2 linked regions of the Caenorhabditis elegans genome follow. The protein of the gene in region 2 interacts with the protein of the main gene of each other region in a pairwise test. Each region holds a gene or a part of one and is shown on either strand. Other genes may lie near its edges. The genes, in order: ztf-15 and ztf-3.

Evidence for each region.
Region 1: the proteins of ztf-3 (region 2) and ztf-15 interact in a two-hybrid assay, tested with the Caenorhabditis elegans proteins (one large-scale study listed by BioGRID).

The regions. Positions count from the first base shown.
Region 1 is NC_003279.8:7,253,522-7,259,383, reverse strand, and holds ztf-15 (C2H2-type domain-containing protein), read right to left. Parts: upstream 3,874-5,862; 5' UTR 3,858-3,873; coding exon 3,834-3,857; intron 3,790-3,833; coding exon 3,676-3,789; intron 3,631-3,675; coding exon 3,541-3,630; intron 3,493-3,540; coding exon 3,406-3,492; intron 3,364-3,405; coding exon 3,148-3,363; intron 2,964-3,147; coding exon 2,490-2,963; intron 2,351-2,489; coding exon 1,958-2,350; intron 1,657-1,957; coding exon 1,162-1,656; intron 1,110-1,161; coding exon 966-1,109; intron 916-965; coding exon 763-915; 3' UTR 685-762; downstream 1-684. Other genes in the region: Mitotic checkpoint serine/threonine-protein kinase bub-1, read right to left, coding at 4,253-4,742, 4,787-5,556, 5,602-5,789, 5,834-5,862.
Region 2 is NC_003279.8:285,271-290,988, forward strand, and holds ztf-3 (C2H2-type domain-containing protein), read right to left. Parts: upstream 3,916-5,718; 5' UTR 3,805-3,915; coding exon 3,703-3,804; intron 3,633-3,702; coding exon 3,480-3,632; intron 3,375-3,479; coding exon 3,288-3,374; intron 2,734-3,287; coding exon 2,239-2,733; intron 1,728-2,238; coding exon 1,604-1,727; intron 1,151-1,603; coding exon 1,101-1,150; coding exon of another isoform or gene 1,082-1,100; 3' UTR 770-1,081; downstream 1-769. Other genes in the region: marc-4 (RING-CH-type domain-containing protein), read left to right, coding at 288-368, 565-664.

The sequences.
Region 1 (5,862 bases), 7.0 Mb from region 2:
TTTCTTCCTCCTGTCCATCATCTTTTTCAGCAGTGCTGCACACACAAATAATTTCTCATAGTTTTGTATTTTCCCCCACATATCTTGTTTATAATCAAGTTTTTCTCAGTTTCCTTTTTCCTAATTGTTAAAGTTTCAGTCTCAATCATATTCTCTCACTCTCTGTTTGAACGATTCGCGCGCCGAGTCTCCGTTGATCTTTAAATTCTGTTGATTTCTCCCGACGCTCCACACGTCTGAAATTGATATAATCTGAAAGTCTCGTTGACATCATAATTCTTTCGATTCTAGCGATCGACCCTCCACATTATCAATCAGTAAACTGCCTTCCAAAAGCCCCAGGCTCTAGAAAATCAAATCAATTCAAAAAACGCAAACGGTGTGTCTGTCATCATCATCATCAACTCTTCTTTTTCAAGAATAAAGTTGTAATTAAGACTCTCTTATGTAAATACAATCTCTTTCTTTCTTTCTTCTTTTCTATTTACTCTGCACAAATGATGATAAGACACCAGGATCTGGCAGGATACTTCACTCAAGTAGTACGGTTTCGCGCTGTGGTTTTTTCCAGGAACTCCCTTTGCTTGGTAAGAATCACAAAACGTTTTCTTCTTGTGGAATGTTGAAGAACGAATAATAGTAAACATGGAGTTTAATTGAAGAAGGTTTAAATCTAGAAGACAGAACGTTCAAAATTTTATTGTCTGAAAAGTAAAGAATAAAGCACAAGGGAGCAGTACATAACATCGTATTAAGAATTATCTACTTTCTCGAGAAATGCGGTTGAATAGGAATGAAAATTTCACTTTCTTCTACGACGAATATTTGTACATTGTCCATGTAATCGTAATTGATGTCTTCTTCCGAATATCTTCTCGTAGTTGTTTCATTTGTAGATCTATTGTTCCTGCAATGCTGGTCATGTTGTAGCATATGTGATATAAATTCATTACATATAAACTTACCATCATATTATGATCATGGAGAGCACGATAGTTTGGAAGGGTTTCAGAACAGTTGTTGCATTGAAACATTTCTTTTCCGTGAGATTCGTGTCGATGTGAGCACAACGCTTGCAGGTTATGAAAGGAGGCGTGGCAATCTCGGCACTGAAATTATAAATTCTCAAACGTTATTTTTTAATTAGGAAAATTAACAAACCGTCCATTTCTCTGGAGTATTCGAATCTAGACGAACACGGGATGTGATTTTTCTCTGCAACGCGGCTCCATTTGTATCGCTCCTGTGATGTTGTCGTAAAGAAGAACTTCCCGGTTGTTGAATATTATCAAATACGTTGCCGTATTGACACGTCTTGCGATGTTCAGACAGAACATTCAAATTTGCAAAAGTTGCTCTGCAGTCAGGGCACTTGAGAACTGATATATTTTGAATATTGAAAAGTCTCTTATCTCGGATCTTGTATGGCTTGAAGCATTCGTGACGGTCAAGAGTGGTTCGATCGATACAGTTTCGGCCACATTGTTGGCAACGGAAGATTGAGTATTCCATACTCATATGACGACGAATCGAACTTAGTGTATTGAACTTTTTCGTGCACACACCACATGTTAGCATTGCAGTCAATCCATGAATTTGCTTCCGATGATGAAGAAGACTTGCAACACCGACACAGAACTTTCCACAGATGGAACACTGAAAACTTATAATGTAAGAACAACATATTTAGAGCTTCAATTTTGTAAAACATAATGATACCTTTGTCAATTTTCAATTTTTCAATTTTTCAATAGAAATCAATTTTTGCCGCAATATTGCAGATACAGCTACAGTAATCCTATTACGTATTCCCTTTTAATACAATCTTATCATATGAATCATTCACTTCAAAATGTTAAATTTACATTCTTTGGTGATAATTTAGATTTTAAGACATGATTACTGAAAGAAGTATGTTAACCAAACAAAAAGATTTAAAAGAAATGAAGTAATCTACCGGAATATTGACCAAATTCCCAGTCGAAGAAGATGAGGATGAAATGGTAGCATCAGCATCTTCGTCATCGTCATTGTCGTCTTCTCTTTCAGGTTCTATACCAAATAAATTGACATCTGGAACCACGCTGATCTCTCCTTCACGTGGTCGTCTGTCCCGCAACGAGTTGACATCCAAATGTACATCAGAAAGAGCTGGAGTAATGTCTGGACAATGCTTCTTGTGATAATCAAACCAATATTCATTTTGATATTTTTTATGACAGTTTGGACAGCTTATGGTTTGATCTAAAAGCGCAGGAGGAAGTGCAGTAGATGAATTACACTTTTCCATGTGGCGTTCGAACCAAAAACTCGAATTGTATCTTCGGTAGCAAACATTGCACTTGAATTCCTGCAAAACAATGTTTATGTCCCATCTCTGACTGAAATTTATTTTTTTTTTGTAAAACAAGAAAAAATAATCTGTTAAATTAGTTTATATTTTCAATTAGTGAAGTTCTCGCAAAAACGTTTCACTAAACATTCTCCACCTGAATTTCGTCCGTTGTTTCCAAGCATTTGGTTCTATGTTTGAGCAACCAATGATAGTGTTGATATTTCTTTCCACATAATACACAAGCGAATTGGAAACGGTCTTCTTTTGATTTTTCATGATTCTCATTAGACAAAACAACGCCACCAAATTCTTCATCTTGAATCTCTTCTTTTATTACTTTTATTTCTTCCGCATTTACACGTCCCGTTCTTCTTCGTTTTTTATCGTCGATTGTTTCATTTTCCTTACATCGATGCTTTTCCAAGTGCCATTTGCTGGCAAACGATGTATTGCAACCGTCACAATGATATACTTTGTATTCTTGACTTAGATGCAAATAGATATGTGTTCGCTTCGAAAACTCTTTTCCACAGAGACCACACATCATCATATCTTTCAGTGAATGTTCTTGATGACGATGATCAAGAAGACAGCGAATGGTTGAAAATTTGGATCCACATATTGAGCACTGAAATTGAAGAATAAAATCATGTTCAGAATGTTATGCTTTAGATTTTGAGAAATTTGATGGTTGGTACACACTTTTAAGTTGTAATAAATAAATCTATAATAGTGATATGGTATAATAGTGATAATAGTGAAGGTTTTTGTTCATTTACAGAGAATGAGATATAGAACTAAAATGAACTAACCGAGCAATTAACAATTGGATCTCCTCCTCTTTTTGTCCAATATTTGGCAGAGGGTTTCGATGTCAAATTACTACGCGACTGCCGGTTTCCTCGTGGGGTCCGTCTTTCTTCGATACTTTCATCGGTTTCATCGCTACTGTCTGACTGATTTAATAGTGTATCAGCACCTTCACAACCATAGTTGTTCAACACGTTTATGTATTGGACGCTGTTGTCCTGAAAATGTTCATTAGAAAATGAATTACAGTTGGTTTTTACACTATGGAAGCGATTATTCCACGAAAATGAGCCATCAGCTTGGTTGTACTGAACTCCGGACGGATTTTCGAATATTGAAAGATATTGCTGGAATTCGAAAATTATACAGCATTTTTACCAAATTTATATTTCAACCTCATCTTGCATTTCATGCTTTGGATCTCTGATTTCAACTTTATTCAATTCCTCTGTGACTTGTGAAGATGTGGATGGCACGTTTTTAGTCTACAACTCTAACTTTATGTTGAGGTTTCAATGAAGATTAAATACCAAAGATGGTCGAAGTGAAGCTTCGTCGAAAATTGCTTTGATATGACGAAGCAATTTTTCATCAGGCATGTCATGATAAAAACTGCCAATTTCATTTTCGACATTTGGTAAAAGCTGAAACTTTTTGCAAAATAAGTTGATTAAACACTAGCGCTCACCACAGTCTGATCTGATTCTTCCATTTTTACAAGAGGATGGCTGGAAAATATTTTAATTGTAATTTTTTCTAAATTCTTTTTTAAATATCACATTTTATGCAAAACGCGAAGAAAACAGTTGATGAAACAAAACGAATGTGCAACTATTTAGATCTAACTGTGATCTATTGCAATACTTCCCTTTAAAGGCGCATCAAATTTCTACCGTGATGGGTCTCGCCGCGCCCAATCTCGAATATCACGTTCAAATTTGGAAAGCTTTCAAAAACTGAAAACTTCGTTTAATTCAATTTGTTTTACCAGAAATAAATTAGATGCACAATTATTAAAGCTCCGAACGAGTTTATTCACATGATATCAATACAAAAGACAATAAAAGAGAGCAATAAGAGCACGAAATACAAATTCATTGTGTTGGGCTACTTTTGGTTGGCGGCAAGATCACAGGCCTCATTGAACTTGGAAACCGCCTGTCGCCATCCCGATGCTTCAAACTTTTCATTCCAGATTTCCGAGAAAGACTTGATCAGGATATTCCAGTCCGGAAGTGAATCACACGAAGGGATGTTGAGGAATCTGTTAATGACATCGTAGCAAGCATCGCGAAGAATGTTGCGCCTCTTGATGTCGACATTTAACGAATAGTCTCCAACGCTAGCTCCAGTCAACTGTGCATACTTTCCTGCAACAACGACAGCCATTGTTGCGGCGAATCCGAAGTAATCGGCTTGGTAAGTCCAAGAACGACCGTCAACCATTTCCGGGCAATCAAACGCTTCTGTTCCTGCTCTTCCCTTGAAACGCTGGTTCTTCAGTGGCATCATGTCAATGGCACGTCCCCAGTCGATAATCTTGATGACAAAGCTGTCGTTACTCATCAGAGCATCTTTGCCCCATTTATCATCGATCCTGAAAAAAGATAACGTCTAAAATTAACAAATGTTTTCCCATACTTTCTGGTGATCATAAAATTATCCGGTTTGATATCTCCATGAATAATTTTAGAGGCATGGACTTCCTTCACAACTCGGGCCATTTGGGTAATCAAGAAGCAGGTTATGTGCCAATTCGGATCCTTCATGTTATTCGCATATTCAAGCAGCGTTCCATATTCGTGGTACTGATTAACAAGAAGCGAAGCAGTTGAATAAACATAAGCATCCATCACTTCCATAATGCAACATTTGGCCATCAGCTCCAAACCTCGATCTTTCAGGCGATTCCGCATTTGGTCGCAAATGTACACTTCCCACGAACATGATGGCACCTCGTACTTCACAGCTACTGTCCTTTGATCATCGGTTACAGCCCGGTATACTTTAGCGTATCCACCTTGACCAATAAGAGTTTGAATGTGGAGCTTTTCTCCGCTAACCTCGCAGTCTCTCAGAGCTTGAATCTTCGGTGCTCGTTCTTGGAACTCGTGCATATTCTGGGGAGGACGCACAAGACACATCAATTTTTTTCGAAGAGTTTCGTCCCATGGATTGATGTCTCCTTGCTTGATAATTTCACTGCGCCGACGAATCTTGCAACCAGTGATTTCAGATTCGTTGTTTTCAGTGAGATTTGGAATTTCATCAGCACCAATTGAAAGACGTCTTCCTAGATTAGCTGTCAAACAATCGATAGATGAATCTTTAGGATCTGATCGTTCAGGCTTTGATGACTCTGTGACTGAGGGCTGAACGGCTTGATTTGCTGCTAGTGACTTTCGACGTGTCTGAAAAAGTTTGAATAGTATGTCGAAAATTTGTCTGGCACTTACTAATTTACTGAAAGTACTGCTGGTTGGAGCAACAAATACTGGAGCTTCCTGTTCGTGAGTGCTTTCCTCCTCTTTATTTCCGAAATATTCATCAATGTTGACCAAATGAACTCCTTGTGCGGGGGTCGATGTGACGAAATTACCACGAGACGGTTTGAAAAAGCCAAACTCGATTTCATCGTCATAAACTAAAAATTAAAACATAAGTTGTTATATTTTTCGATAAACCCACTATCATTAAACATTGTAGCTGGTGAGGTT
Region 2 (5,718 bases):
CGAATTTTTTTAGTTTAGCGGTCACACGGGCTTCTGGCCATTCTCTCTGCATTTTTCGCGCTCCATTGGCATTGGCTTGCCGGACAACGCGTGGGAAAGTCGTGTACTCCACACGGATAAATTTGTTCAGTTTTACATTGAAAACCGAGCCGTGACACGCCGTAAATCTACCCCGGCCGTGGCCGAGTCAAAATGGCATAGTTCGGCAAATTCTTGAATTTCAAAATATGATGGAAGCCTGAAGCACGTGCGGTCATAAAAATCAATAAATTATCTTTTTTTTCCAGAGCCGAGTCCACGATATTCCGATGTATTTTCCGATTTTTTGTGATCAATAAGAATTGGATGATCAAAAACTACGATATCAAGTGAGTGGGCGGAGTGTAATTTCGGCGGGAAATTCAAAATTTTTCAAATTTTTCAGAAAAATTTCGCGCAAAGTTCAAAAACTCAAAACTTTCGGTAAATTTCGGCGCGAAATTCAAAATGTTAAAAATTTTGGGGAAATTTTGGAGGGAAAATCAATTTTAAAAAACGTTTGTTTGAAATTTTTTTAATTTTCAGAAATGATCCCGAAATGGCTCACCGCCGCGGTCTCCAGAAGTCTTCACCTGTTCCGTTAACCTTATCAGCTTCTGATATGTGTATCCACGTGTCATCCTAGTCAACAATTCAACGAAAAAAACCATTCCAGTTACAATTTCTCATTTCTTTTCACCACTTTCGGGTTTTTTGCAAATTAAAAAAATTTCGATTTTTTTTTTGAAATTTTAATTTTCCAATTTTTATTTTTATTCCACAACTCAGGTTGCTCAACAGTGCCTAAAATAAATTTTATTTCTTTGATTTTTTATAAATTTACAAAAAAAATACAACAAAAAAATAATATTACACATTCGTGAAAAACGGAAAAAAAATTCAGCCTATTTACATTAAAACACGTGGAATTTGAAATTTTAGCGATATATCGATTACCCTTTCTCGGAAAACTCGTAATAAATGTGAAAAAGGCGAGGAAATTGGAAGAAATAAATGCGGGGGTTTCTAGAAAAAAAAATTGGGAGAAAGTTTAAAGAAAAATTCAAAATAATGCTCCGGTGTCATCGTGTTCCACAGTGGTTAGATTCTGGTATTTTGTGCATGGTGTGCTCTGAAATTTAAAAAAAAAGTAAAAAATTGAAAAAAAAATTTCTTAAAAATTAAAAAAAATGAACTTTTTTTTAAAATTTATATTCAAAAATAAAAATGTTTGGTATACCTAATTATTCATACTTTTATCAATTTTCGAGAAACTTCAATTTTTCAACTGCTAACGTATACAACTCGCGTTACTCGAAAAAGACCTGGGGACTAGTTTCCCACTTGGTGGCCTAGAAATCTCCAGTAAAAACATCGACGACCGAGATATGAGTTTCTAGGCCTCCATATGAAAAAAAAACTCGGTCGGGGACTAGGTTTCCACATGATGGCCTTGATAACTTCAAATTTTTTGGTGACCTAGATTTTTCAAAACTTGGATTACTAGGCCACTAAAAGCTTTTCGGTGGCCTAGAAACCAAAATTGCGTGAATTTTTCATAATTCTATATCAAAATTGACTAAACCGAAAAGAATGCGATGCTTTTGCAATATTTCAGCAGTTGGTGTATCCCACGTGGCGACGGGATTTCGGGCGACCGTGCCATTGATTAGAGCCAACGGAAGATATTTTGAGCATTCGGCGGTGCTCTGCAAAAATTTTTTTTTTGCAAAAGTTAAAGACGCATGGTGGGTCTTGATCTATGAAATTTCGTGATTATTCGAAAATTTTTTGTCCTTATTGACAATTTTTTTATCCACAAAAAAGGCGGATGTCCTAATTGCCAAAAATGTGGGTTTCTAGGCCACGAAAAATAATTTTTTGCTTCAAACATCCTGCTTTTTTTCCAAAATTTAGCTTTAAAAAGTCGGTGGCCGAACTTTATTAAAAGTTCAATTTCTCGGCCACAGAAACTTTGTTTAAGTTTTCACATTTGGATTTCTAGCCCACCAATAACGTTTTTATTTCATATTTTTATAAAAATCGAATTAAAAGTAGATGATGACCTAGTTTTTTTTCAATAATTTGGGTTTCTAGGCCACCAACTTTTTTTAAAAATTTTCTTAATTTTCCATAACCAAAAAAAAAAAACAAAATCGATGGCCTAACTTTTTGGCTTCCTAGGCCACCAATAACTCTTTTATTACTAATTTTCCTCACTCTCTGATGTCGATAAACACTTTCTTGTCTCGAATATCGCTTCCCACACCCATCACACTCAAATGCTCCATTCGTCTCATGAGTGAGCAAGTGTTGATTGAGCCCATGCTTTTGCCGGAAAGTTTTCTCGCAGTCTCGACATTTATAAGGTCCATTGTTGGGCTGGGCCTCGTGAGCCGACGACGGGGCCGCCCGTTTTTTCGCCCTTTTCCCCGATTTTTCCGGTGAAAAAGTGTCGAAATACGCGTTATTGTCATCTAATTTTGGTACATTCGCCAACATTGCTAGATTCTCCTGAGCCACCTGTTGTGACGTGTGAGGAATGTGATGGTGCTGATAGAGGTCTGGTGGTGGCTGAAAATGGGGAATATTCCCGGCGCCGAACATTTTCAGAAGTTCCAGGTCGAATCGTTGTTGAGCATCCGCGTCGACTACTTGATTGAGGGAGACGGTGAAGTCAGTTGAGGAGGTGGATGGCAGTTTTATAGAGAAATCCTGCAAAAACTCAGGTTTTTGCTAAATTTTTCAATTTATCATTGTAATTTCCGAAAAATTATAGCTTAATTTTTAGATTTTTCGCTTGATTCTCAAGTTTTTATGCGAAAATTTAGTTTTTTGTCAATTTTTTTTTGTTTTAAATGTAAAACTACGGTATTTAAAGGGAGGAGCACTAATTTATGCCGATGGGTCTCGCAGCGAAAACATTAAATGCCTTAATTTAGCCATGCGCCTGGAAGGTTACTGTAGTTTTTATTGATTGATTTTTCATTCAATTTGTGGTTTTTGAAGGTTTTCAACTCATTTTGAAAGGCTTTTATAGATTTTTTTTTCTGAAAATCAAATTTAAATGTTAAAATAATTTTTTTTTTTTTCACACAAAAATAACAGAAATTCCGAAAAATTGCAATTTAAACAGCTCTAAAATATGAAAATTAACGCGATTTTTATCATTTTTTGCTTCAAATCGCTGACTTCTGGCAAAAAAAAGGAAAATTCAGCAAAAATCAATTTTTCAGAAAAATTTGATTGATTTTTGGAATTTTTCTTACCAATCCGTCGTCTTGCCGTAAATCCTGTAGCTTCATCTCCTTAGCCAGCAGATTTCTTACATCTAATTGCACGTGGCAATTGCAGTTCTGAAAAAAAAATGTTTTTGAGATTTTTAGAAAACTTATTTTGTAAATGTTCTAGGTGGGTTTTCAAATTTTTTTTTAAATTTAATTAAATCAAATTCTTCTCACCGTCAGTTTCTCTTTGACAAAATCGCTCAAATTCTTCTGATTTTCCTGAACTTTCTCCACTTTCACGGCCAAATCCTGCTGCTCACGCAAAAATTGTTTGACAAGACACGTTAGCTGGTTCACATTTGATAGATTGTCCGGGATTTTTATAATCTGAAATTTGAAATTAAGGATTTTAGCGGTTTTTTCGGCAAAACGTAAACTTTTAACGCTGAAAACTCACATTTTTCGAACTCCGCTCCAATAATCGTCTAGTGAATTCTTGAATAAATCCGGTTGCTTTCATAAAATTCTGAAATTCCTCATTTCCAATGAATTCGCCCATTTTCCGATGGAAGAAAAACCAATGGAAATACGGCAATATTTGCGCACAAAATCGATGCTGAAGTGTCGTCGGACGCAGTGTTTCGTGTGCAGTACACGCCTACGACAAATTGCGGACTTTTTTGTTATGGAGAGAGTAGAATAGAGAAGAAAAAAGAAGATAAAATGGATAAAAATTGCGCGTTTTTCTCGTTTTTTCTCTGAATCTCTCAATTTTTAGGTTTTCGATCCATATACGTCCCGAGTGGAGATGAAGCCATAAATTTTTCTCTAAAAATTGTTTCTTGCCCCTCCAAATCGCTTATTCGTTTTTAAAATTATGAAAAAAAAATGCTAAAAATGCTTACCAAACCGCAAATTTTTAATTGGAAAATACCCAATATTTTGCAATTTATAGTTTAAATTCAAGAAGGTGCCAAAATTTCTGCAAAATTGCATATCTTCATATAAATTGTTACATTTTTTGTAAAAACTTGAAAACCCTGCTTTTCACATAATAGTACTGGAATTTTTCAATTTTCAACAATTTCATAATTTTTGACCAATTTTTTATTGAAATTTTCAATAAAATATTTAAAAGATGTGGCTTTCCAAGCAGATTTTCCAATTTTTCCGAGTTTGAGTAACTAAGTTTCAACCAAAATGATGTCACAAGTCAGAAAATTTCCCTAAATTTCAAAACACAGGTGAATAACTATAGGATTAGAATCTGCAAAGATTGAGTCTGGAGATAATTTCGGACATTTTTTCGGATAGTTTACGTTTCCTGTAGTTTCAAATAGGCAATTTTACTTTAAAGGTTGCTAATAAAATTAAGAAAAATCCTTATATAGTCTCCACCCACAGATTGGCTTTTTAGATATTTTCAAAATATCTTGTAACGAAAACTACAGTAATCTTTAAAATTAAAATTATTACTGTATTGCTTTTGTCCATTTACGGGCTCGATTTACGAAATTAAATTTAATAATCTTTAATCTATAGAATATTAAAATTAAGCAAAAAATGAGAAAATAATACGAAGAAATGAAGGAAAATGGAATATCGGTGTAACTATCCGAAAATAAATTCATTTAGAAAATCGAGCCCGTAAATCGACGTTACGAAGAATTACTGTAGTTTTCGCTACGAGATATTTTGCGCGTCAAATATGTTGAGCAATACGCATTTTAAGAATTTACTGTTATCGTAATAGTTCAAATTTTTCGAGATAATAGTCTTCCAAAAAACTATTGTTTAAGGTTTTATTTTTTCCGTAATCTAAATTGATTATCACTAGACACTGTTCATTAATCATTCAGAACTTGTATAATCCATCTCGGTTAAATTGTTGGTGAGACAAAGTGTAATCTGTTCTAGTTGGGTCACACGATCCCTTTTCCACTCAATCGCTTACCCACTCAACACTATAGACTAGACACTCACACAGGAAATAGTATTGTTTACCTGTTTTCTTTTGGACACTGTTTATAACTTTTCCCTCTCCGTTTCTCTACGTTTAAATTTGTCAAAAATTAATAATTTTCTTACTTCCACATTCAATACTCATTTAATGACCGGTATTTGAAAATATTTTAATTTTTTAATCTTTAGTTATTACAGGAACAGTAAACTCTGGGAATTCGTATTGCACAACATATTTGACGCGCAAAATATCACGTTAGCTGGCATAATATTAGGCATATATTGTTTCTACAATCTTGTAATGTATAACTGACTAACATCTTTGAAATAAGTTTGTAAAACTTGTGAGTTGGAAAACATTGTGCATGGATGTCGTGTTTCGCGCACGCGCTAGAGTAGTCATAAAAAGATTACTGTAGTTTTCGCTACGAGATATTTTGCGCGTCAAATATGTTGTGCAGTATGCATTCTCAGAATTTTGTGTTCACGTAATAAATTAAATTGTTAAAAG